3 linked regions of the Stegostoma tigrinum genome follow. Each later gene encodes a partner of the first gene's protein in a complex. Links are inferred from orthologs where the notes say so. Each region holds a gene or a part of one and is shown in the gene's direction. Other genes may lie near its edges.

Evidence for each region.
Region 2: the proteins of vegfc (region 1) and flt4 are in contact, whole or in part, in a crystal structure (PDB 4BSK), measured with the Homo sapiens proteins. The link is inferred for Stegostoma tigrinum from reciprocal best matches to the Homo sapiens genes VEGFC and FLT4. Residues at the interface, in NP_005420.1 of Homo sapiens: Leu119, Asp123, Trp126, Gln130, Asn167, Arg210; in NP_891555.2 of Homo sapiens: Gln172, His199, Asp200, Ala201, Leu202, Tyr203.
Region 3: the proteins of vegfc (region 1) and kdr are in contact, whole or in part, in a crystal structure (PDB 2X1W), measured with the Homo sapiens proteins. The link is inferred for Stegostoma tigrinum from reciprocal best matches to the Homo sapiens genes VEGFC and KDR. Residues at the interface, in NP_005420.1 of Homo sapiens: Thr148, Asn149, Phe151, Lys153, Phe186, Ile188, Val190, Pro191, Leu192, Gln194, Pro196; in NP_002244.1 of Homo sapiens: Val135, Tyr137, Ile215, Val216, Val217, Val218, Asn253, Val254, Gly255, Ile256, Asp257, Phe258, Asn274, Arg275, Asp276, Phe288, Leu289, Ser310, Ser311, Gly312.

Annotation. Positions count from the first base shown.
Region 1 is NC_081356.1:120,836,990-120,844,592, forward strand, and holds the start of vegfc (vascular endothelial growth factor C), read left to right. Parts: upstream 1-4,591; 5' UTR 4,592-5,348; coding exon 5,349-5,468; intron 5,469-7,603. UniProt on the Homo sapiens protein: Growth factor active in angiogenesis, and endothelial cell growth, stimulating their proliferation and migration and also has effects on the permeability of blood vessels.
Region 2 is NC_081366.1:12,011,613-12,019,318, reverse strand, and holds the start of flt4 (vascular endothelial growth factor receptor 3), read left to right. Parts: upstream 1-4,692; 5' UTR 4,693-4,872; coding exon 4,873-4,930; intron 4,931-7,706. UniProt on the Homo sapiens protein: Tyrosine-protein kinase that acts as a cell-surface receptor for VEGFC and VEGFD, and plays an essential role in adult lymphangiogenesis and in the development of the vascular network and the cardiovascular system during embryonic development.
Region 3 is NC_081354.1:108,373,743-108,381,745, reverse strand, and holds the start of kdr (vascular endothelial growth factor receptor 2), read left to right. Parts: upstream 1-4,989; 5' UTR 4,990-5,315; coding exon 5,316-5,379; intron 5,380-8,003. UniProt on the Homo sapiens protein: Tyrosine-protein kinase that acts as a cell-surface receptor for VEGFA, VEGFC and VEGFD. Plays an essential role in the regulation of angiogenesis, vascular development, vascular permeability, and embryonic hematopoiesis.

The DNA of each region.
Region 1 (7,603 bases):
AAAAGAAGATAGGTGGAGAGACTGTAGGTGGGGAGGTAGGGAGGGGATAGGTCAGTCCAGGGAAGACGGACAGGTCAAGGTGGGATGAGGTTAGTAGGTAGATGGGGGTGCGGCTTGGGGTGGGAGGAAGGGATGGGTGAGAGGAAGAACAGGTTAGGGAGGCGGAGACAGGTTGGACTGGTTTTGGGATGCAGTGGGTGGAGTGGGAGAGCTGGGCTGGTTGTGTGGTGCAGTGGGGGGAGGGGACGAACTGGGCTGGTTTAGGGATGCAGTTGGGGAAGGGGAGATTTTGAAACTGGTGAAGTCCACATTGATACCATTAGGCTGCAGGGTTCCCAGGTGGAATATGAGTTGCTGTTCCTGCAACCTTTGGGTGGCATCATTGTGGCAGTGCAGGAGGCCCATAATGGACATGTCATCTAAAGAATGGGAAGGGGAGTGGAAATGGTTTGCGACTGGGAGGTGCAGTAGTTTGTTGCGAACTGAGCGGAGGTGTTCTGCAAAGCGGTCTCCAAGCCTCCGCTTGGTTTCCCCAATGTAGACGAAGCCACACCGGGTACAGTGGATGCAGTATACCATATTGGCAGATGTGCAGGTGAACCTCTGCTTAATGTGGAATGTCATCTTGGGGCCTGGGATAGGGATGAGGGGGGAGGTGTGGGGACAAGTGTAGCATTTCCTGCGGTTGCAGGGGAAGGTGCCGGGTGTGGTGGGGTTGGAGGGCAGTGTGGAGCGAACAAGGGAGTCACGGAGAGAGTGGTCTCTCCGGAAAGCAGACAGGGGTGGGGATGTAAAAATGTCTTGGGTGGTGGGGTCGGATTGTAGATGGCGGAAGTGTCGGAGGATGATGCGTTGTATCCGGAGGTTGGTGGGGTGGTGTGTGAGAACGAGGGGGATCCTCTTTGGGCAGTTGTGGCGGGTGCGGGGTGTGAGGGACGTGTTGCGAGAAATACGGGAGACGTGGTCGAGGGCGTTCTCGATCACTGTGGGGGGAAAGTTGAGGTCCTTGATGAATTTGGACATCTGGGATGTGTGGGAGTGTAATGTCTTGTCGTGGGAGCAGATGCGGCGGAGGCGGAGGAATTGGGAATAGGGGATGAAATTTTTGCAGGAGGGTGGGTGGGAGGAGGTGTATTCTGGGTAGCTGTGGGAGTCGGTGGGCTTGAAATGGACATCAGTTACAAGCTGGTTGCCTGAGATGGAGACTGAGAGATCCAGGAAGGTGAGGGATGTGCTGGAGATGGCCCAGGTGAACTGAAGGTTGGGGTGGAAGGTGTTTGTGAAGTGGATGAACTGTTCGAGCTCCTCTGGGGATACTGGGGATATTGGTTGATACTGAACTCATTTTGCATTGCTGGAAACAGCCTGTAGACACAGAGACCTCAATAAATCACTGCCCAGGACAAAAGTTTGACAAATTGCTCCAGGGTGTGGTCCAAGGACAAAGTTGCAAGATTTGCCTCATTATCCCTATATTAATTCAATGAGTATTGGTAGAGTAGAACACCCGATAATAAGTAATAAAATTATGAAAAATTAATCTAAGGCATCTAAGACATTTAATGAATATTTTCCTAATGAACAAACACAGAAATGCATTAATGAAACATAATAATCAGACATATTCAGATTATTTTCACTTTCTAGAGTAACAACTGAAATATACTAAAGAGGTGCATCCATTTTACAGATTTCAGGCTAATCCCAATTCAATTCACAGATATCTTTTTTCTGCACCAGATGATTCCAAAACCTGCAACAATCAGCCACATATTCAGACATAAAAACAGAAAATGTTGGTGAAACTCAGCAGGACTGGCAACAAGTGGGGCAGAGAAACAGAGTTAACATTTTGAGTCTGAAATGATTTCTTCAGAATTGAAAGTGGTTAGAAAATGATGGCTTTTATGCTGTTAACAAAGGAATGTAACAGATTACAACTGATGGCGAGGCAACAAAAGTCAAAGTCATTGCTAAACGTGTAGTAGAGGGCTATAGGTGCTGAATAGGTGTTAATGGCAGGTGTGGACTTCAGAATGTAGGTCAACTCCTCTGAGTCAAGCCATGCAAACATGTGTGTGTGTGTGTCGGGGTGGTGATGGGGGGAGTATTGGGGGGGGGGGGGTGGTTAATCAAAATAGAGCCGAGTTTTCATGATCAGACATTGTTGCTCCTCAGCAGAAAATCAGATGTTGTTCTTGTAGGTTTCTTTGGGTTAGTTAGATTCTGTGACAGGCCAAGGACAGAAATGTTAGCATCTGAAAATGATGCTATCTTGAAATAGCTAGCAACTAGATGTGGGTCATTCCTCTGGACAGATTAAAATATTCCCCAAAGAAATCTGCATCTGGCCTTGCCAAAGAAAAGGGGATAGCATTGTGAGCAGCAATAGAATAGATTAGATCAAATAAAATTCAAGTGAAATGCTACCTCACCTGGAAGATATGTATGGGGGCTTGAATGGTGAGGAGGTGAATGGACAGGTGTTACAACTTCTGTGATAGGAGGGGATGATGTCATGGAAGGGTGAAGAGGTGCTAGGAGTGATGGAGGAGTGGACCAGAGTGTAACAGAGGGAATGGTCTCTGTGGGATGCTGACAGGGGAGGAGCAGAGAAAGCAGAAGACGAACCTTTAAAGGCAGAAGCTGGTGGGGTGGAAAGTGATGACAATCAGAACCTTATCATTGTTCTGTAAGGGACATCTTCATCAAGGGGATTATATTACCAAAAAGGCATCAGGCATTCCTTTAGTTAATTTGTGGAATGTGACTGTTGCTGGCTGGGCCAGCATTTATTGCCCGTACCTAATTGCCCTTGAGAAGGAGATGGTGAGCTGCCTTTTTGAACTCCTGCAGTCCACCTGCTGTGGGGTCGCCCACAATGCCATTAGTGAGGGAAATCCAAGATTTTAACCCAGCAATAGGGAAGGAGTAGTAATATATTTCCAAGTCAGGATGGTGAGTGTCTTGGAGGGGAACTTGAAAGTGATGTGGTGAAAAAACAGAAAATGCTGGTGAAACTCAGCAGGACTGGCAACAAGTGGGGCAGAGAAACATTTAACATTTTGAGTCTGAAATGATTTCTTCAGAATTGAAAGTGGTTAGAAAATGATGGCTTTTATGCTGTTAACAAAGGAATGTAACAGGTTGCAACTGATGGCGAGGCAACAAAAGTCAAAGTCATTGCTAAATGTGTAGTAGAGGGCTATAGGTGATGAATAGGTGTTAATGGCAGGTGCAGACTTCAGAATGTAGGTCAACTCCTCTGCGTCGAGCCATGCAAACATGTGTGTGTGTGTGTGTGTGTGTGTGTGTGTCAGGGTGGTGGTGGGGGGAGTATTGAGGGGGTTAATCAAAATAGAGCCGAGTTTTCATGATCAGACATTGTTTACATCTATCTGCTGCCCTTGTCCTTCTAGGTGGAAGTGGCCGTGAGTTTGGAAGGTGCTGTCTGAGGATCTTTGGTGAATTTCTGCAGAGCATCTTATATGCACTGTTGCTACTGAGCGTTGTTGGTGGAGGGAGTGGATGTTTATGGATGCAGTGCTAATTAAGGGGGTTGCTTTATCCTGGATGGTGACAAGCTTCTTGAGTGTGGTTGGGGCTGCACTCATCCAGGCAAGTTGGGGGGTATTCCATCACACTCCTGACTTGTGCCCTGTAGATGGTGGACAGGCTTTGTGGTATCAGGAGGTGTGTTACTAGCCATCGTATTTGGCAGTAAGTCATTCATTGCCTGTCATTTTTTTAATTGAAATGTTTGTGATTTCAACAACTAGCCACAATTAAAAAAAAAGAAAATCAAAAGTTGGTTTTATCGAAAGTGCCCAGTGAAGTTTTCCAACTATTGTAACAACCTAGCTGATGTCCTTCAGAGATGTAAAGCTGCCAGGTTATCCAGGTATTGTCCTATGTGCCTTCAGTCTTACTGGTGCAATGAACTTCCCTGCTTTCTCAAGAGCCCCATGGATCACAGTCAGCTTGTCGGACGGGGGGGGGTTGGACAATAAATCTCGTTCTCTTCCAGCAATACCCATATCCAAACTAATCATTTAGTAAAAAGAATGGCTCAATTAGCTTACTCTTACTAACTGTTTGTAATGGTATTTTCTCGCCCTGTGTTGCAAGCTGGAGGATGGGCCTGCAAGCTGTTGCTTCCCCACTTCACTGACGGCGTCCTTCACTGTCAGAGATACCCTCCCCAGTCCAAATATTGAATCGAAGTCCACTCCTTCAAACAGTCGTAAAGCATCCCAGAACACAATCGAGGGAAGGGCAGTTACATCATGCAACTACTGAGCGCTGACCTGATCTTTATTTCATTGTTTCTGCTGGGATCTTGCTGTGCACAAATGACATCAACCCCCACCCTCTCATCACCGAACACCGTTGCCCTCTTTCCACATTGCAGCACTTCCAGGAAGTCTCCGGTGCCTGTGAAAAAGCATTTTGTCTGCGGGGGGTGGAAGGGCACTATACAAATGCAGGTCCTCCATGTTATTGAAAGAAACCTGTTTCGGACAGAGCTGGACACCGGACCCGCCTCCCTCCCCGGGAGGGGGACATTGCCAGCGTATTTAACACTGGAGACCTGTGAAAGGGGGAGAAAAGGCTCCGAAAGCGGCCAGCCTGCATACAGTACGCGGCTAATGTAGCCACAGCGAAAGCTGGAGAGAGAGACAGCTGTCAGACTGGAAGGAGATACAAGGCAGAGCCTGGCTTGTACATTTTATATTATTTTTGTAGCCACGTGGGGATTGTCAGACCCGTTTCCTGGTTGTGTAGAGCTTAAAATGTGCACGTGTCTCACCCCTCACCACCCCCTCTCTCTGGTGTTCCTTGCCAAACTCCTTATATAAATAGTGCAGGCAAGGGATCACATCGAAACTCGGTCTGTGTGGGGAGAGAAGCTGCACTGAAAGCTTTGAGGGGAACTCGGAGCTGTCTGCATATTAAACATGCCATACCTCCCTCCTTGGCTGTCTCTCATCCACCAGCCAGAAGGATTCTTTCACCGGATCGTCAGAGTGAAAGCTCCGCTTATTCAGACAACACGTGGATAAACTTTACTTCCCCTCCTTTACAAAAGAAGTGTCACTTATTCCGCTGAAGTTAACGATCCAGAAAGCGCCACCGTCCAACAGAATATCACGTTTCGTGCCATTTTAAATCCTTTGAGTCCCTCTTTTTGTTGTTGTTTAATATCACCGCCCCGCACATCCCCATTCTCCCGCCCTCTCCTTTCCCTTCCACCTTGATCCCTAAAGGAAAAGGCAAAAGATCCGAGGATTATTTTTTTTTAATATTGCACCGGCCGCCTTCGCTTTCTGTTGTATCCCGGCACAAAGATGCTGCTGGTTTCAGAGATCGCTCTCTTTCTGATTTACACGGCCTTGCTGCAAAGGGACTCCGCTTATGAATCTAGCCAAGACTATTACGATGACTATCAGGAGCTGGGAGAACCGAAGGTAAGGGAGGTATTTTTTTTAAATCATAGAAGTGTACTCTCCTACCCCCTCGGCTGTCTTAGTCTGTTGTTGCTGTCTGGCTACTGTACCACTGTTCAACGAGGAATCACCTTCACTTTCTCACTGGCGCTACAGGAATTTATTACTAGGACCTGGACGGCACAAGCGGCAGCGAATCTGTGGGCGAGAAGGGTGCAGATTGCCGAGCTTTTTCTAACATCTGTGGATTTTTGATACATGTAATGCAATCTCCAGTCATAATCTGACACTTATGCAACTTTTTAACATAGATGTAACTTTTATTGTACTTTGTAACTTTGTAATAACAAAAGTTTTCCAATATACTTTTTATGCGCATTTCAGTAAAATCGAACGTTTGTGTAACTATATATTCTGCACCATTAATACATATTTTGCATTTTTTAATACATCACGTGAATTTTCAATGCATGTAAATAATTTTAATGCATATTTTCCGAGCCATATACACTTTCGGCACACTACTTTGGATTACATTCCGTATACATATTTATATGAAATAGTTGGCATTTGTAGTATCTGGGAATTTGTCTCCCTCTGAGGTAAGGACACAACAGAGTGGTGAACTGCTCACAGGAGATAGGGTCCCTGGAAGATTTGCTCTGGGTGTTAACTGAACTCTGGCGGAGTTTCGCTGCGACCTTCCACCAGCTCCTTGTAGGTCAGGAACACCTACCTCCCCGCACAGACGGGCCAAAGGTTTCAGTTTAGAAGAGAGGGGGAAAAAAAATCCCAGTCTGCTAACAGACGGGGGCGTGGATCCTATGGCTCTCTACATTAGAATGAAGCTCGCTGAGAAATTTAGGAAGTGGCATATTCAAAATGCACGGAGAACCTCTCTCTCCTTCATTTCGACTGAATTAACATGGTATGCCCGTCAACTTTCTCTCACAAAGTCCCAGGTTTGCCACAAGATAGACTTTCAAGAGTGGGAGATACAAATTTGAGGCACGGGGATTTATAAATCAAAGGCTCCTTCTTTAGACTTTGAGAAACATTTTGTTAAAACGAGAAAGCAGTAATTGTGTGTGTGTGTGTCGGTGGGTCAGAAGCAGTAAGGAAAAACGGGTTGAGAAATGTAACACAACGAGGAACCCAGCCTCTCTCCAGCGATTTGTAGAAACGAATTCCACCCACTGATGTTCTGAAGAGAGAGAGAGTAACAGGGATAATCTTGTGAGTTGGAGACAGTCCGTGGAAATTTGACAATTCCTGTTGAAGGTGTATAGGTGTCAATAATTTAAAATGATAGAGGAGGAGGGAGTGTGGACTGGCTATATGAAGAACAGATTCATAGAAGATGATGGTAACTGATACGGATAAGGGGTGCAGGAGGGAGGGAGAAGGAACAGAACTGGACACAAGTTAAGAAAGAGAATCTGCATTAATACATAAAGAAAGCAAGAATGAATACAGCGAGAGAACGGTTGCACTGACAGGGCTTCACAGGAAGAGAGGGAGGGGGAGGGCAAAATAAAAGGAAAGGACAAGAGGAGGGAAATCATATATACAAATTCAGCAGCCAGCATTTAAGAGTGAGAATAGCGCCCAGATGCACACAAAGACAAATGGAGATCCCGCACAGGGAATTCTCACGCCTAGGCGGATCTCTTTTCCTCACTCAATAAAAACTGAAACAATTGTGGATGCTGTACATCAGGAACAAAAACAGAAGTTGCTGGAAAAGCTCAGTAGGTCTGGCAGCAATTCTTCACATGCTGCCAGACCTGCTGAGCTTTTCCAGCAACTTCTGTTTTTGTTCTCTTTTCCTCACTGTCTCACACAAATGCACAATGCAGAATCTGAGACACACGCTCAGGTATAGAAAGTCAGTGACCAACAAATACATTTCAGTGACATACGTAGAGACAAGCAATTAAAAAGTGGCAGAGAGAGAAAAAAAACAGAAAATAATGCAAAGGTTGAAGTGCCCACTCAAAGGTAGAGATGCATACAGCACTACCAGACTTGTCAAATTCGCTTAAGTATAAGGCTTTTTTGTAAATTGGTGGGGGACTTTCATTGGCAAGAGAATGTTGTTATCTGGGATGGTACACTTTCACATGAAGGAAGTGATCCCTTTCTCCATTCAGAGT
Region 2 (7,706 bases), on another chromosome or scaffold:
AGGAGTGGCATGTTTGATTAGGGATAACATTCCGGCTGTACTTAGGGAGGATATTCCTGGGAATACATCCAGGGAAGTTACTTGGTTAGAACTGAGAAATAAGAAAGGGATGATCACCTTGTTAGGATTGTACTACAGACCCTCCCAGTGGTCAGCAGGAAATTGAGAAGCAATTTTGTAAAAGTTTTTGTAAGGGCGGCATGGTGGTTCAGTGATTAAAACTGCTACCTCACAATGCCAGACCTGAGTTTGATGCCACCCTCAGGTGACTGTCTGTGTGGAGTTTGCATATTCTCCCCGTTTCTGCATGGGATTCTGCTGGGTGCTTTGGTTTCCTCCCACAGTCCAAACATGTGCAGGTTAGGTGGATTGGCCATGCTGAATTGCCCATCATGTCCAGGGGTGTGTAAGTTATGTGGATTAGCTATGGGAAATGTAGAGTTACAGTGAAAATGTAGAGGGGATGGGTCTGGGTTGAATGCTCTTCGGAGGGGTGATGTGGATTTGTTGGGCCAAATGGCCTGCTTCCACATTGTAGGAATTCTAGGATGTCAAGATCTCAGTTATCTGAAAGAATAATAGAGTGGATATGGTGGGGGATTTTAACTTTCCAAAGATAGGCTGGGACTGCTATTGTGTTAAGAGCTTAGATGGAGAGGAATTTGTTCATTGTGTACAAGAAAATTTTCTGATTCAGTATATGGATGTACCTACCAGAGAAGGTGCAAAACTTGACCCACTCTTGGGAAATAAGGCAAGGCAGGTAACTGAGGTGTCAGTGGGGGAGCACTTTGGGTTAGTGACCATAATTCTATTAGTTTTAAAATAGTGATGGAAAAGGGTAGACCAGATCTGAAAGTTCAAGTTCTATATCAGTAGAGGGCCAATTTTGATAGTAAGAGGCAAGAACTTTCAAAAGTTGATGGGGGGGGTGGTGTGGATGTTTGCAGATAATGAGAATGGCTGGAAAATGGGAAGCCTTCAAAAATAAGTTAACGAGAGTCCAGAAACAGTATGTTCCTGTTAGGGTGAAGGGCAAGACTGGTAGGTGCGGTGAATGCTGGGTGAGAAATTGAGGTTTTGGACAAGAATAAGAAGGAAGCATATGTCATGTATAAATAGCAGAGATCAAGTGAATCCTGAGAAGAATATAAAAGCAGTAGGAATATACTTAGGAGGGAAGTCAAGAGGGCAGCAAGGGGACATGTTAGCTTTGGCAAATAGGGTTAAGCAGAATCCAAACCACAAATATATTAGGGACAAAAGGGTAACTAGGACAGAATAGGGCAACTTAAAAATCAGCAAGCCCACTTATTTGTGGAACCATAGGAGATGGGGGAGACACCAAACAAGTATTTTGCATCAGTGTTTGCTCTGGAGAAGGATATGGAAGACAGAGAACATGGGGAAATAAATAGCAACATCTTGAAAAATATCCAAAATACAGAGGAGGAGGAGCTTGATGTCTTAAAATGCATAAGAGTGGATAAATCTCCAGGACCTGATCAGGTCTACCCGAGAACTCTGTGTGAAGCTAGGGAACTGACAGCTAGGTGCCTCAGATATGTGTATCATCAATAGCCTCAGGTGAGGCAGCAGAAGACTGAATGTTGGCTGAACGGTGACCTTATAGAAATTTACAAAATCATGAGGGGCATGGTTCAGGAAAATAGACAAGGTCTTTTCTCTGGGGTGAGGGAGTCCAAAACTAAACAGCATAGGTTTAAGATGAGAGGGAAAGATTCAAAAGGGACCTAAGGGACAACATTAAAATGCAGAGGGTGGTACACGCTGGGAATGAGCTCCCAGAGGAAGTGGTGGAGGCTGGTACAATTGCAACATTTAAAAGACACCTGGATGATACATGAATAGGAAGAGTTTAGAGGGATATTGGCCTAATGCTGGCAAGTGGGACAAGATTTATATAAGATATCTGGTTGGCATGGACAGGGGTCTGTTTCCATCCTGTATGTCTCTCTGACTCTATAACTGTCCACTTGTTGTGATATGGTCTTCCAGTGCACTTTCAACTCTCAAACTTTAATGAGAGAGACTTCAAACCAAGACAGGTCAAAGGATAACAAAGTGTGGAGCTGGATGAACACAGCAGGCCAAGCAGCATCTCAGGAGCACAAAAGCTGAGAGAGCCCTCTGATGAAGGGTCTAGGCCTGAAACGTCAGCTTTTGTGCTCCTGAGATGCTGCTTGGCCTGCTGTGTTCATCCAGCTTCACGCTTTGTTATCTTGGATTCTCCAGCATCTGCAGTTCCTCTTATCACAGGTCAAAGGATATTGCTTTTGAGGAATGTTATCTCCGACCGTGTTCAATTTTAATATCTTTCCCTGCCACAGTCTGGGTCATGTGAATTCAATCTGAACGTCTTTCTTGTAAAAGCTCTAATCTGTGACTACCTCCCCATATGTGCTACGCATGTTGTCCTTTGCTGCATGGATGTACAGCAGTGACCCAAGATACTGCTAGAATTCCAAAAGCGGGACCTCAAGCATGTGCAGCTGAAGACACTTTCTGGGATCATCTGGGAAGCATGGTATGTCCCTGACTTCACACATACTGCAGGATCTCCAATCTGCCTGTCCCATCTGACTTAGAACATAGAACAATACAGCGCAGAACAGGCCCTTCAGCCCTCAATGTTGTGCCGAGTTGCCATCCCATAACTCTGAAAACCTCTGTTATCGTTAGAATCAGTACTAGCCTCTGAAAACATAAGAAGCTATTGTTCAGGAAAAGAAGGGTAAAACACTCAGGATTTAAACTAAATAACCAACTTTCACTTTAAAGATGAGAAAAACTAAAAATCAGCTGCTTTCCCGGCTTCAGGATGTCACACTGCTGTTGGTTTAAGTACACATAAGCCCCTTGATCTCCACCTTATTTCCTTTCTCGGTCATCCCTTTCTCTGAAGACTTTATTCCTTACAGTAAACCTTAATTCAAACACGTCTCCTTCCCCTCTTTCCCGCATCCCCCCCACTCCGGTCTGCCCTGAATTCCAACTTGTACCCAAATTCCCAGATACTCACTTCTGTCTCTGTCTCGCTCAGGTGAAATCTCCTTCATGCTAACCTTGCAGCTTCTTCTGACCAAGTGACCATGCCCGGTCAATTATATTATAAATTAATATTTTGAATAACATATTTCCATTACAATGCATATCATTAGTTTTAATATTTCTACTACTACTTATTGGTGAAGTGGGGATAACAGGCAGGAGATAAGGTCCAGGATGTTTCGTTATAATTCAATCCCTATTTTAAAGTCATAAATTCACTTTTTAGTATATAATTGATTTTATATTATTTACATTAAAAATATTAGCAACTAATGAAGTAGACAAGAACTGGTACACTTAATTGTAGAGAGCTGGGGAGTATTACTGAACAAAGGGACCTTGGGGTGTAGGTTGACAATTCCTTGAAGTTAGAGTCGCAGGTAGACAAGATGGGCAGAGAAGGTTTTTCTGTACACTAGTCTTTGTTGGTCAGTGCACTGAGTGTAGGAATTGGTATGTTACATTATAGCTGTACCGGACACTGGTTAGGCCACTTTTGGAATACTGCACTCAACTCCGATCTCCCGATTACAGCAAAGACGTTGTTAAACTTGAAAGAATGCAGAAAAGATTTACAAGGGTGTTGCCAGGGTTGGAGAGTTTGAGCTACAGGGAAAGGCTGAATAGGCTGGGGCTTTTTTCCCTGGAATGTTGAAGGCTGATGGGTGATCTTATAGAGGTTTATAAAACCATGAGTGGCATGGATAGAGTAAATAGACAAGGTTTTTTCCCTGGGGTGGGAGAGTCCAAAACTAGAGGGGCATAGGTTTAAGATGAGAGGGGAAGAATTAAAAATGGACCTAAGGGGCAACTTTTCCACGCAGAGGATGATGCATGTATGGAAAGAGCTGCCAGAGGAAGTGGTGGAGGCTGGTACAATTACAACATTTCAAAGGCATCTGGATAGGTACACGAATAGGAAGGGTTAAGAGGGATATGGGCCAAATGCTCGAAAATGGGACGAGATTAGGATATCTTGTCAGCATGCACGATTCGGACTGAGGGTCTGTTTCCCTGTTGTATGCCTCTGTGACTCCAGCCAGTGAACTTTGGGGTCTGAAGATAAAGATCAACAATATCAGGGTTACAGCGCCATCAGTGGTGGAAGGCCATAATTACAGCATGACAGGTTTACATAGGAAATATTTAGTCTAAATTTAAACCTAAGGAGTTTAAGGGGAAAATAGCCTGGAAGTACAAGAAGAACTCGGTTTATGCAGGCTGGTGTATTTAAATTTAAATTCTTCGTTGTTAGGGATATATTATAACAAATAATTAGAATCCTACCCGAATCTGGTTAAATACTGTTTTGTCTTAATGCGGTCTCAAATATAAAGGGATTTTAAAGATGAATACGTTTGCGATTTGTGAATCGTACTCGATAGGTGAAGGCGCTAGACGTCTGGAAATTTTCACCAAAAAAACTGTGCAGAAGTTCAACTCTTGTTGGAGATCAGGGAATCTGGAGAATCTGTTCAGATTAAAACGAGGGAGGGGAGGAAGGGAGAGAGAAAAATACTTTTGTTTTCCTGCGGGTTGGTGGAAGTGGCGAAAGGGTTGCAAAGAGGAAACGTATCTCACTTGATGTTAATCGTTGCACACATTTCCTTCAAACAATTTCCTTGTGGTTTCCACGGCTGCTCGTCCCCGGAGCTGCTCGGAACTAAATCTCAGCTTGTACCTGACCCACGGGCTCTGAGTTACACGTGTGTCTGCGAGAGAGAGGCAGAGAAGAGGAATTTAATATTTTTCATTTCTTTGATCGGAGACTTCAAACACTCCAGGATTGGACATCTAGAAATGAAGAAAGCTTTTACCTTTTCTGTCTGGATTTGGTTTGTAGCCGTGTGTAAATCAGGTAGGAGTCAGTGTTTGCTGAAGGTTCGAGCTGCGGATTGTTTGAGTGTTGTTGAGGCAGGCGAACTGTGGAGATGTTTGAAATGAAGTTGCACCTCCGAGTTGGATTGTAAATTGCTCTTTTTTTGTGTGTGGGAAACCTCTGTAGATTTGGACTTTGAAAAGTTGTGGCTGTCCTTCTGAGTAATACCTGAAGGCTGATAGGGGAGTGTTCACAAACTCAGAATTTACGAAATGCTGCAAGGATCAGTGTGGAGCCTCTTGTGTTTAGCGTTTAGCTGCGCTGTAGCAGGTAGGACGGAATCTATGTTGTAGCTTGCTCTTGGGGATGTTTTATTGTAGATTTCCCCATTTGCAAAGAAACCTTCTTCGTCTTGAGACACGTTATTTTGTTGCATTGATTTGTTCCGTCATATAAAAGAGACCGGGGTAACTCGCAGCTGATGACACGGGACAGAATAGACCTGGGGGTTTGTGCCCAAGAAAACCGTGTGAAACCGAAAAGAGATTGGGACTGATTGAGAGCAAGCTTCAGCTTTGTATCAACTCCAGTCTGCTCCCTGTCCTGAAAAGTCTGCTAGCAGGGGAACTTGAGCTAAGCGTTCATTTTTCAGTATGTTTTGTCCTCTCGTGTTTGAAGTTCTTTCCATATTTGACTGCAGTTTACTGATGGGAAAGCTCAGGAACTCCTAGCTCGCAGGTAAACTGTTCCAACATTGAAGATGGGCTTTGCTCCCGTCTGCACATAACCCCGGGTCACCAGCAATTACAGGGTCTTAAACAGTCACCATCTTCCGTAAATTATCTCCAAAGACTGTCATTTAAATTGTATGAAAACAATATTTCAATCACCACTATCGGGTTATATTGAGTTGGAGTGAATTGACGATTTTTGCTTTCCAAGTCGACACGGTGTGAGTGTAATGAGCTAAGGATACTGGGAACTCCATGTGAATTGGACGAAGTTTTCAAGATATTGATGAACCAGATATGCTGGGGATTGGAAATGAAACTGGATTGAAATTCCAATTCCACATCACTAGGCAATGAATACACCATCGTACTTCTCTGATCTCCCCCTCCTTGTCCACCCCCTCCTCCCTAAACCACTTTCCTCTCCCCAGCCCCCTGGCCTCTCCAGTAAAGGTTCAGACCATCAAACTCTTATTGAGTGTTCCTTGGAAAGAGTGAGAAGGTTGAGCCATTTGAAGTTGGGATCATTCTGTTCCAGCTGAGCTCAGATTACCTGCTTTCTGTATTAGCCTGGAGCTTGCTTTGTTCTGAATTAAAACTGTGGGATTAGTATAGTCACACGGTGAGGACTCTCTTCCCATTGCGCTCCAGATATCTGCATCTCTTCCCTTTGATTTTGAGCATACTATATTATTTCAATAATTCCCAGGATGTGGGTGTCACTGGCTGGGCCCAGCATTTATTGCCTGTCCCTAGCTGCCCTTGAGAAGGTGGGGGTGAGCTGCCTTCTCAAACCGCTGCAGTGCATGTGCTGTGGGCTTACCCACAATGTCTTTAGGGAGAGAATTCCAGAATCTTGACCCAGGAACATTGAAGGAACAGTGACGTATTAGGAGAGTGAGTGGCTTGGAAGGGAACTTGCAAGTGGTGATGTTCCGATATATCTATATACAAAGATATGAACATACCAAACTTGAGTAGAAGTGGACCATTCAGCCCCTCTGATCTGCTCTGCCATCCAAATAGATCATGGCTAATTGGTTTACATTTCAGATTCCATGTTCAGATTTCTCTCCTGGGAACCCTGGGCTGTCCTGCATAACAAAAATCTGACTTTAAAATGACCCTGCATCCACCACCTTCTGAGGCAGGGAGGTTCAAAGTGAAGAGTCACTGACCCAAAACGTTGAGTCTGCTTTCTTCCCACAGATGCTGCCTGACCTGCGGAGTTTCTCCAGCAATTTCTGTTTTTGTCTTTTGCAGCGATGCACTGGGCTGCCTATTTTTGGGAATAGCAATATTTCTGGAGACAGCTCATTCTGTCAATTGTTTAACAGTCCACCACCATTCAGGACTGGATGTGGCAGGACAGCAGATATATGATCTGAACCTTTGGTTGTGGAAACACTTAGTCTTGTCTGTCACCTGTGAAGGAAAAATGACAGAGTTAACGTTTCGAGTCCAGTGACCTGAAACATTAACTCTGTTTTCTCCTCCACAGATGCCCGACCTGCTGAGCTTTTCAAGCAACTTTGTTTTAGTTCCTGATTTACAGCGTCCGCAGTTCTTTTGGCTTTTATTTAGTCTTGCCTATCAGTTGCTCTTCTCCTATTTAGCGTGCAAGTGCTGCTGTATTGACTGCCCATTTTTAAATAAACCTGGTGACGCTCCTGGTATGACCTCTTGCACCAATTCACTGAACCAGGGTTGATCTCCTGCCCTGATGGAAATGGTGGAAGTGGGTAGACAGTTGCAGATTATGGTTGAGTAGAATTCTGCTGCTGTTAATGGCCTGGAGTACCTCATGGATGGCCAGCACTGAGTTGCTAGATCTGTTCTAAATTCATCCCATTTAACACAGCATGTTCCAATGCAATCATCAGAACTCCCCCCGCAATTTCTCAAATGCTATCAAACATTCGCATTAGAATCACAGGTGGGCCACTCAGGCCTGCTCCACCATTCAAAAGGATCTTGTTTTGACCTCAGAGATAGGAGGAACTGCAGATGCTGGACAATCTGAGATAACAAGGTGTAGAGTTGGATGAATGGAACAGACTAAGCAGCGTCAGAGGAGCAGGAAA
Region 3 (8,003 bases), on another chromosome or scaffold:
TTTTCTTAAAAAACTGCAGATGGTGGGGATCTGAAACCCTTCAGTTTTGATTGTCTAGCAAATGATATTGTCAACAAAATGAATCGCCTTAAACATCTCTGCACTGGACCTCATCTGCCACTATCCAGGCCATTTTACCAGCTTTCTGAGATAACAAAGCATGGAGCTGGATGACACAGCAGGCCAAGCAGCATCTTAGAAGCACAAAAGCTGACGTTTCATCAAAAAAGGGGGATGGAGAGAGGATTCTGAAATAAATAGGGAGAGAGGGGGAGGCAGACCGAAGATGGATAGAGGAGAAGATAGGTGGAGAGGAGAGCATAGGTGGGGATGTAGGGAGGAGATAGGTCAGTCCGGGGAGGACGGACAGGTCAAGGGGGCGAGATGAGATTAGTAGGTAGGAAATCCCCGTCTCCCTAACCTGTTCTTCCTCTCGCCTATCCCTTCCTCCCACCTCAAGCCGCACCTCCATTTCCTACCTACTAACCTCATCCTGCCCCCTTGACCTGTCCATCCTCCCCAGACTGACCTATCCCCTCCCTACCTCCTCACCAATGCTTTCCTCTCCGCCTATCTTCTCCTCTACCTATCTTCAGTCGGCCTCCCCCTCTCTCCCTATTTATTTCAGAATCCTCTCCCCACCCGGTCCTTGGATAAACATATGGATGATAATGGAATAATGTAGGTTAGATGGGCTTCAGTTTGGTTTCACAACGTCCAAGGCCGAAGGGCCAGGGGTCTAGACCCAAAACGCCAGCTTTTGTGCTCCGAAGATGCTGCTTGGCCTGCTGTGTTCATCCAGCTCCACACTTTGTTATCTCGGATTCTCCAGCATCTGCAGTTCCCATTATCTCCTACCAGCTTTCCTACCCTCCTTGTGAAGATTAACACAAAGTTTGATTCTGGGGAAACTGTAGTTTAACCAGTTGCAAACAATAGAGCGTGTGTCGCGCTGGAATTTGCACCGGCATTTCCAGAGCCACGTTATACATAATTTTCCAAATATTTAAAATGACCAGGCAGAAAATCGCATGGAGTCTGTCGGAGCGGGTACTGCTCACAATCAGGGGAATTAACTCCTGGACTATATTCGGCATGCAACTCTTCCAATACTGCCATCACAGTTTTCACGTGACCTAAAAGTTTGTTTTTTCATGTTGATAAGAGCCAGGCAAGAAGGAATGGAGCACACAAACGATATGCGCCGCGCCTCGTGCTTATCTAACAGAGAACCAGAAATTCAACAAGTTCTTTACTCAACTGGAAATCGTGACAGAAACTGGTCGGGCGTGACTGCGGGGGATCATCTGCAAGACGAACAAAACATTCGTTCGAACAGGAAGTCTCTCCCATTGTGGAAAAAAAAGCACTTAAGTGAAGGCAGCTTTTTCCGATGTGTTATAATAGCTTGCTTGATTTAATGTGAAACAGTTGGGTCTTGTGTAAACCTCGGCGGAACATATGACCCTAAGACAGTCATAGAGTCAATCTCCTCCTGTTCGTTCTAAAGATTGCTGTTCTTGACAAATAAAGTCATAATATATAGTCAGCAGCGCAGCAGCTTATGATTGAAAAACAAATCTGTGAGGGAGTCTGTGGGATTGTTTTCTGTGGTTTTCCACACTTGGAGAGTTGATAGATTTATAAAAATTGGGCAAATCATGTAAACTATTTACATCACTAAGACACATGATGGAAACTAAACAGCGTGTGTACCGTTTGTAGTGTGTTTGGAATTGTGTTGCCTTGAATGACTAGCTTCTGGGAACTCGATAAGGACGGAGTGGGTCTTAATTAGGGTCATATTTTAGTGTTTGACCACATCAACTTGGAGCAGCTTCCGTTTGAGTGTTAGAGAGAGATAAGCAAAGTCCAGTTCTTGCCTCAATCCAGCCACCTCTGCACTTGCAAGCTGACGAGTAAAGTTTATTGCCTGAAGGTCTTGAAAATTCAAATAAAACTCCGCTGCCACGATCATCCCACCCTTTGCACACTCATGAGGAGCGTGCAAACTGCTCAACCGAAAGAATAGCATGGCCTCTCTGATGAAGGATCTAGGGCCGAAACGTCAGCTTTTGTGCTCCTGAGATGCTGCTTGGCCTGCTGTGTTCATCCAGCTTCACACTTTATTATCTCGGGTTCCGGGCCTATCCGCTGCTGACCTCTGAGCTAGCTGCTCGCACTCTGACCATCCCAATGTAACTAGGAAGGAGTAGCAAGAACTGCAGGTGCTGGAGTCAGAGACAACTCCGCGCTGTATTGTCTGTAACTAGGTTTGAATTCACTGTAAACGCAAAATATTGCGGAAGCTGGAAGCCAAAACACGAATAGAAATTTCTTCATATACTCAGCGAGGCCGGGCAACATCTAGAAAAGGGGAAACTATTTACATTCCAGGTCGCGAAATTCTGGGCTAAAGCTCATCGGCCTGAAAGTTTAACCCTGAATGGCGATAACAATTGAAAACTTTTACTTTCTTCGGAAGTTGTATGCAGCTTCTTTTAATTGTTCTGTAGATCTCCGCTTTTCTTCTTGATTTTCTTTCCCCTCCTGAATTTGGTGACTCATGCCGGTGATAAATTCCTGCATCATTCTGTGTACAACTGAAGGCGGTGACTACCCTCTCATTGACATAAACACGACAACTCTAGTCTGACTGTCTCAGAAGCGGCATACTGTACTCCTGTTAGCTTCACATTGTTCTGTATAGAGATACAACAGCAATCCCTCCTGTCGATTTGAATGGAACATATGCTCTTCTTCAAAGTCTCAAAGCAGCCTCGATATTAGGAATTCTTACACAGTATAGAGTGTAGTTCTTGATATCCCACGTGCACTATAGGCAAACAACTGACTTGCGAATGTAAGGTAACAGATTTGTTTGCTACCACGGGTGTTGAATGAGGTTTGAGTCATCTGTTTGCATTGCCGTGCAAAGCAGAAATGTATTTGTACAAAACAGTACATGTATAAAACAATCCTGCATCCAGACAGGTTGTGTATACCAAGGAGAACAAACTCAGCGTTTCCTCTCACTAGCATGACTCAGATCGAGAGCCTGGTGCTGTAGGGACTTGCAGGTGTCAGCCACATCTCTAGCCGAGACTGCTGTGGCAGCTCGAATGATTGCTCTTTTTCTAATCAGGTTTTTGTGTCCACTGCTCGTCAATGCAATGAGGGGGTGCTGTGAGGTGTGTAGATAGCGGTAAAGTTGAAGACATCCTGCTAAAACACCGGAAATCAATACTGACATGGGCATCGCGCTACTTCTGCACTTCTCCAACATTGCAGCCTTTCCCAGCCACACATCTCCTTTCTCTGTTTGTCTCACAAACTACAGCTCATGAGACCCAGTCACTGCCCACTCTGCCAAATGACCGATAGTTTTGTTCTATGAGGTGCATCTGAAATGATATCCTTGCTCTGCTCTCTGTAGATTTATTGCAGTCATCGCGTTTGACTCACGGGTCAGAGGATCGGGAGCAAAGACACGATCTTAAGAGTGTCCTTGCTGGCAAACGCACAATTATAATGAATTGTAGCGGGCGTAGATGCAATAATTCATAAAGGAAGGGCAGCAGGAAAGTGAACTCACCAACATGACAACGTTTTTGTAAAGTATGATGGGAAAGCAAGGCTGAGTCACGGGCATGTATAAATCTTTTCGCATTTAAAGTAAAACATTGCTATTGTTTGGAATTAAATTTAAAAAAAGCTGCTGTCTGGAGATAACTGACGTATTGAAAATAAATTACGTGAAGTCGAATCTCATGTATTTTATGCTCCTGATATTCAAGTGTCTCTGGAAAAGGTAGTACTTCGAATTGATGCAGCTAAATCCAAGATTTCGTAATTCATTAGCAGATGTAGCATGTGATCTGCAATACAGAAAATAGGCCTAAGGCCTACCCAGCCTGCACCTGTCAATAGCACTCACTGAATTATTCTAATCTCATTTTCCAGCACTGGGCCCGTTGTCTTGAAAGCCTTGGCATCACTTCGGCACATCTAAATACCTCGAGAAAAGTTCAGAGCTAACTCTACGCTCAAATTCAAACAACTTCCACCCCAGCACTGCCGTTGTCAAAACAAAATCTCGAAAGAACTGCAGATGCTAGAAATGAGAAACACAAAGAGCAATTGTTGGATACACTCAGCAGATCTGGCAGCATCTCTGAAGAGAAAGTAGTTTCAGGTCCAGTGACCCTTCTTCAGAACTGCTTATACGTTCAATTAGAAAAGTAAATGACTGGGCAGTAAATGGTTATTTTTTGTGCCAAGAAGTGCTAAATACTATTTAACCATCTCACTGTTCGACTCCCGACGAAAAGAGGAGGCAATGGCCTAGTGGTGTTATCACTGGACTGTTAACCCGGAGACCCAGCTGATGTCTTGAGGATCTTCTTTCGAATCCCGCCAGGGCAGCTGATGCAATTTGAATTCACTAAATACCTGGAAATGAAGAATCCAATGATGACTATGAATCCGTTGCCTATTGTCGGGGGAAAACCCATTTGGTTCACTAACGCCCTTTCGTGAAGGAAATTGCTGGCCTACCTGTGGCTCCAGACCCACAGCAATGTGGTTGATTCTTAACTGCCCTCTGGGCAATAAAATGCTGCCTGCCCGGCGACATCCTTATTCCGTGAATGAATAAAAGAAAAACTGTAAACGCCATTTAGAGACGACAACAAATATACACATAGGCTCAGCTGCATATTTCACGTTGCCCTTCCTGGCTTTGCAAAATTTAATGGAATCCATAAAATTTATTTTCGCTTCCAAACACTATTAATGAGGCGTGGTGGTATATGCTTGCGACATGTAGAAAATTATAGGTTCGTGTTGTAGAATTGTTCTAATCAATTTTTTTCAACAATATGTGCTAACATGTTTTCACCCGCAAGGAACTGCAATTTTGTGATAACTTTCCCGGTTGTTCGGGATGTTTAAGGATCAACAGCGCCGTCACGTCACGTGACGAATGGATCAACTTTCATGGTTCGGCACCTCCTCCCGTATATAATCCACAAATTGCCATGTCCACTTGACACACATTGAACTGACCTCAAAATTACAGCAGCTTCCTTTTCAGGGCGGACTAAATCAGAGGAAAAGCTCCTGGATTATCACGAGTGGCTTTTGCAGAATTCCTATTAACCCTCAGTCATTGAAAGGTGACTTTAACATGTTCCGCCGTCCGATCGACTGCAAGAACATAAGGCTGTGAGAAGCAGCGAATATTGACAAAGGAAGCAGATTGGCACAGCAACGGGAGACCACGTTCATTGGGATTCCGGCATTCCCACTGTGACATGTGGAAGAAGTGGGTTTTCGCGCTGTTGGTATGGCTGTGGACGGGATTTCCTAATGCAACGGGTGAGAGGGCGTTTTGCAGACTAACCTGGCAAAGTAGTGTGTAGGATTGAATGTCAAGAAATTCAAATTGAAGAATTCAGAGCACAATTCAACTTGAATCGTTGTAGAAAATGCAAGCACTTTATAATGCAAATTTGAGGTAGTTTTCTAATTATAGAAAATATTGTGCAATTATTACGTATTCTATCGGAATTTAACTCCATGTGCTATTACATTTCGTTAGAAACATAACTGAGTCTAAGGCACAGGGAATGCTTTTTTGAGATTATAAAAATGACTATGTGAGGCGTCCACTGTATTCAGAACCAGGGGGTCCGACCTATAACTTGATAAATCTCATTGAACAAAAATAAATGGTACGTTAGCCCTAACAGATAGTAGCCAAGCAGACTCAACCTTCTCGTTGTATGAAGCAGCTTTAGACGTCGAGCTTCAAATCATTTGTAGTGCCCTGGTTAGTTCCAATTAACAGCCCACTGCAGGCTCAGGGTTAGACTTTTCTAATTATCCTGTTACACAGCGCTGGAGCAGGTGGTAATTAAACCCGCGCCTCCTAGCCCAGAGGTAGGGACGCTATCTAGTACAAGAGCCCGAGGGTGAGATTACAAAAAAATTTAAACAACCCATTCAAGAGATGCTATCACTTAGATATATTTTTGCAGTAGGTGGGACTTGAACCCAGGCCTCCTGGTTCAGAGGTAGGGACACTAACTGCACCACTGAAACCCTCGGCTCAGATTCTCAGGATCTAACAAATGACAGGAATCTGGTGTGTCTTTGTGATGGCTTGGGATTCGCTTTGAATTCTCCGTTCGGTGAAATACAAAGATTAGTTAATAGTTGGACAACTGTGAATTTCAGTGCAAACTTTGTAATGATCTGTGATTTACAATGGGTTACTGCCCATTTATATTTCACCGAGTGTCCTCTTCTGCTGACTGTACTGTCATGCAGTATTGAAGCCGAAAGCTTGTGGATAAAATTGAACGGCAGTTCGGCAGTTCATTTATGTTAAAAGTAAATACTCTGGCTGCTGGTTCAGTTTGTGGTATGGACTTTTATAGGTGGTCCATTGTGAAATGAGTTATCCCAAGAACATAACCTGGTGAAAACTGGGCGGAATAGTACTGTGAACTGAAATCAGTCAGGGGGAACGCCGCTTCCCTTAGGAGCTCAGCTTTTACACCGCTCAGGAAGCTGCTGGGAAGTGGAGATGGGCCCAGCGGCCGGGGGAAGTGCGATGGAGATTTCTGGGAGGTAAAAAGGAACGACAGGTGACCGAAGGCATATCTTTTACTGGTACGCAGCCCCATCGGCTTTCGAAACAAATGGTGGAACTCGCTGTCAAGTTCAACTTCTCTCCCAGGATATTCTTCACAATCTGGGTAGCAGCATTACGGACTGAAGTCACGTTTCATGGTGGCCATTCTCTCCGAGATCCCTATAAATGTTGGAGAGGAACGTTCGTAGGAAAAACAAACCGAAACTTTATCGGTATAAAGAGGGGTTAGATAGATATATTAAAAAAAAGAAATAAGTCGAGGATTTGAGGGCAATGACAATCTGACACGAAAGTGGAGTTGACAACTGGGACAGACATTTTATATAATGGAGGGGACAGGCTTGAGGGACTGAATGGCCGACTCCTGCTCCTATTTGTTCTGTCATCTGGAGTATAATGGGGTCCCGATCGCACTCCTACCTAAACACAAGTCGCTCTTGCTGGGAGCAAACCCACTGCTCATACTACGTATGATATCCAACCATTAAAGCCCGGACCCTTGAGTAATACCACTCCCAGTTTTACGAACCGTTCAAATATATCTCGATTTTATGTGCCTGGATCCAGCATCTCTCGCTTGAAATCATAATTCATGCACCTAATTTGGCCTGTGAAAGGAAAGGAACGAAAACAAAATAATTTGATTTAAAACTGCCATTTTTCATAATGTATTCCTAGAAAAGGAAATTGAAAAGTGACCTGGGGCGGTTACCGCGATTCATTTTTACAAGGTTTTAATGTCAGTGCAGTTCCCTGGTAGCTAATTAAAGGTAAATGGTGGGTAAATGGTGCTAGAGGGTTGGGGGGAAGGGTGGAAGGAGGCAAGGTGGATAGGATTACTGAAGTCTGCTATCAACACGGATTGTTTCCCTGAAGTAGCTCATGACAGACGGGCAGGAGACGTGGGAGCAGTTGCTGTTCAGAGGAAATCTGTTGGGCAATAAGTGCAAGTCCCCTCTGACAGACTTTCTAACGAGGCGAATCTCTGTATACTTTAAATTGAACTTAGATCAGCATTTGGACCCAGCAGACCTGCACACTCCTCCCGCAGCCTTATTAGATGGACTGACAGCATACAGCATACCTGTACAGCAGGATAAAAATAAATACCATTCACATTTCGGGGTGTCACTGTCAGCGATTGTCGTAACAACCGTGATCTGGTTGCTGGATAGAAGGAAATCTTCATTTAAAAAACGCAGTCTTTTATATAACGTACCATTTTGCCATTAAATGAACCATACACAATTTTGTGTTTGAAAGGCTTTGTAAAGGTCCGTTATTATTTACCTTTTTTTATTTTTGTCGATGTTGCCATGTGAAGAAATTTGTTCAGAGAAAA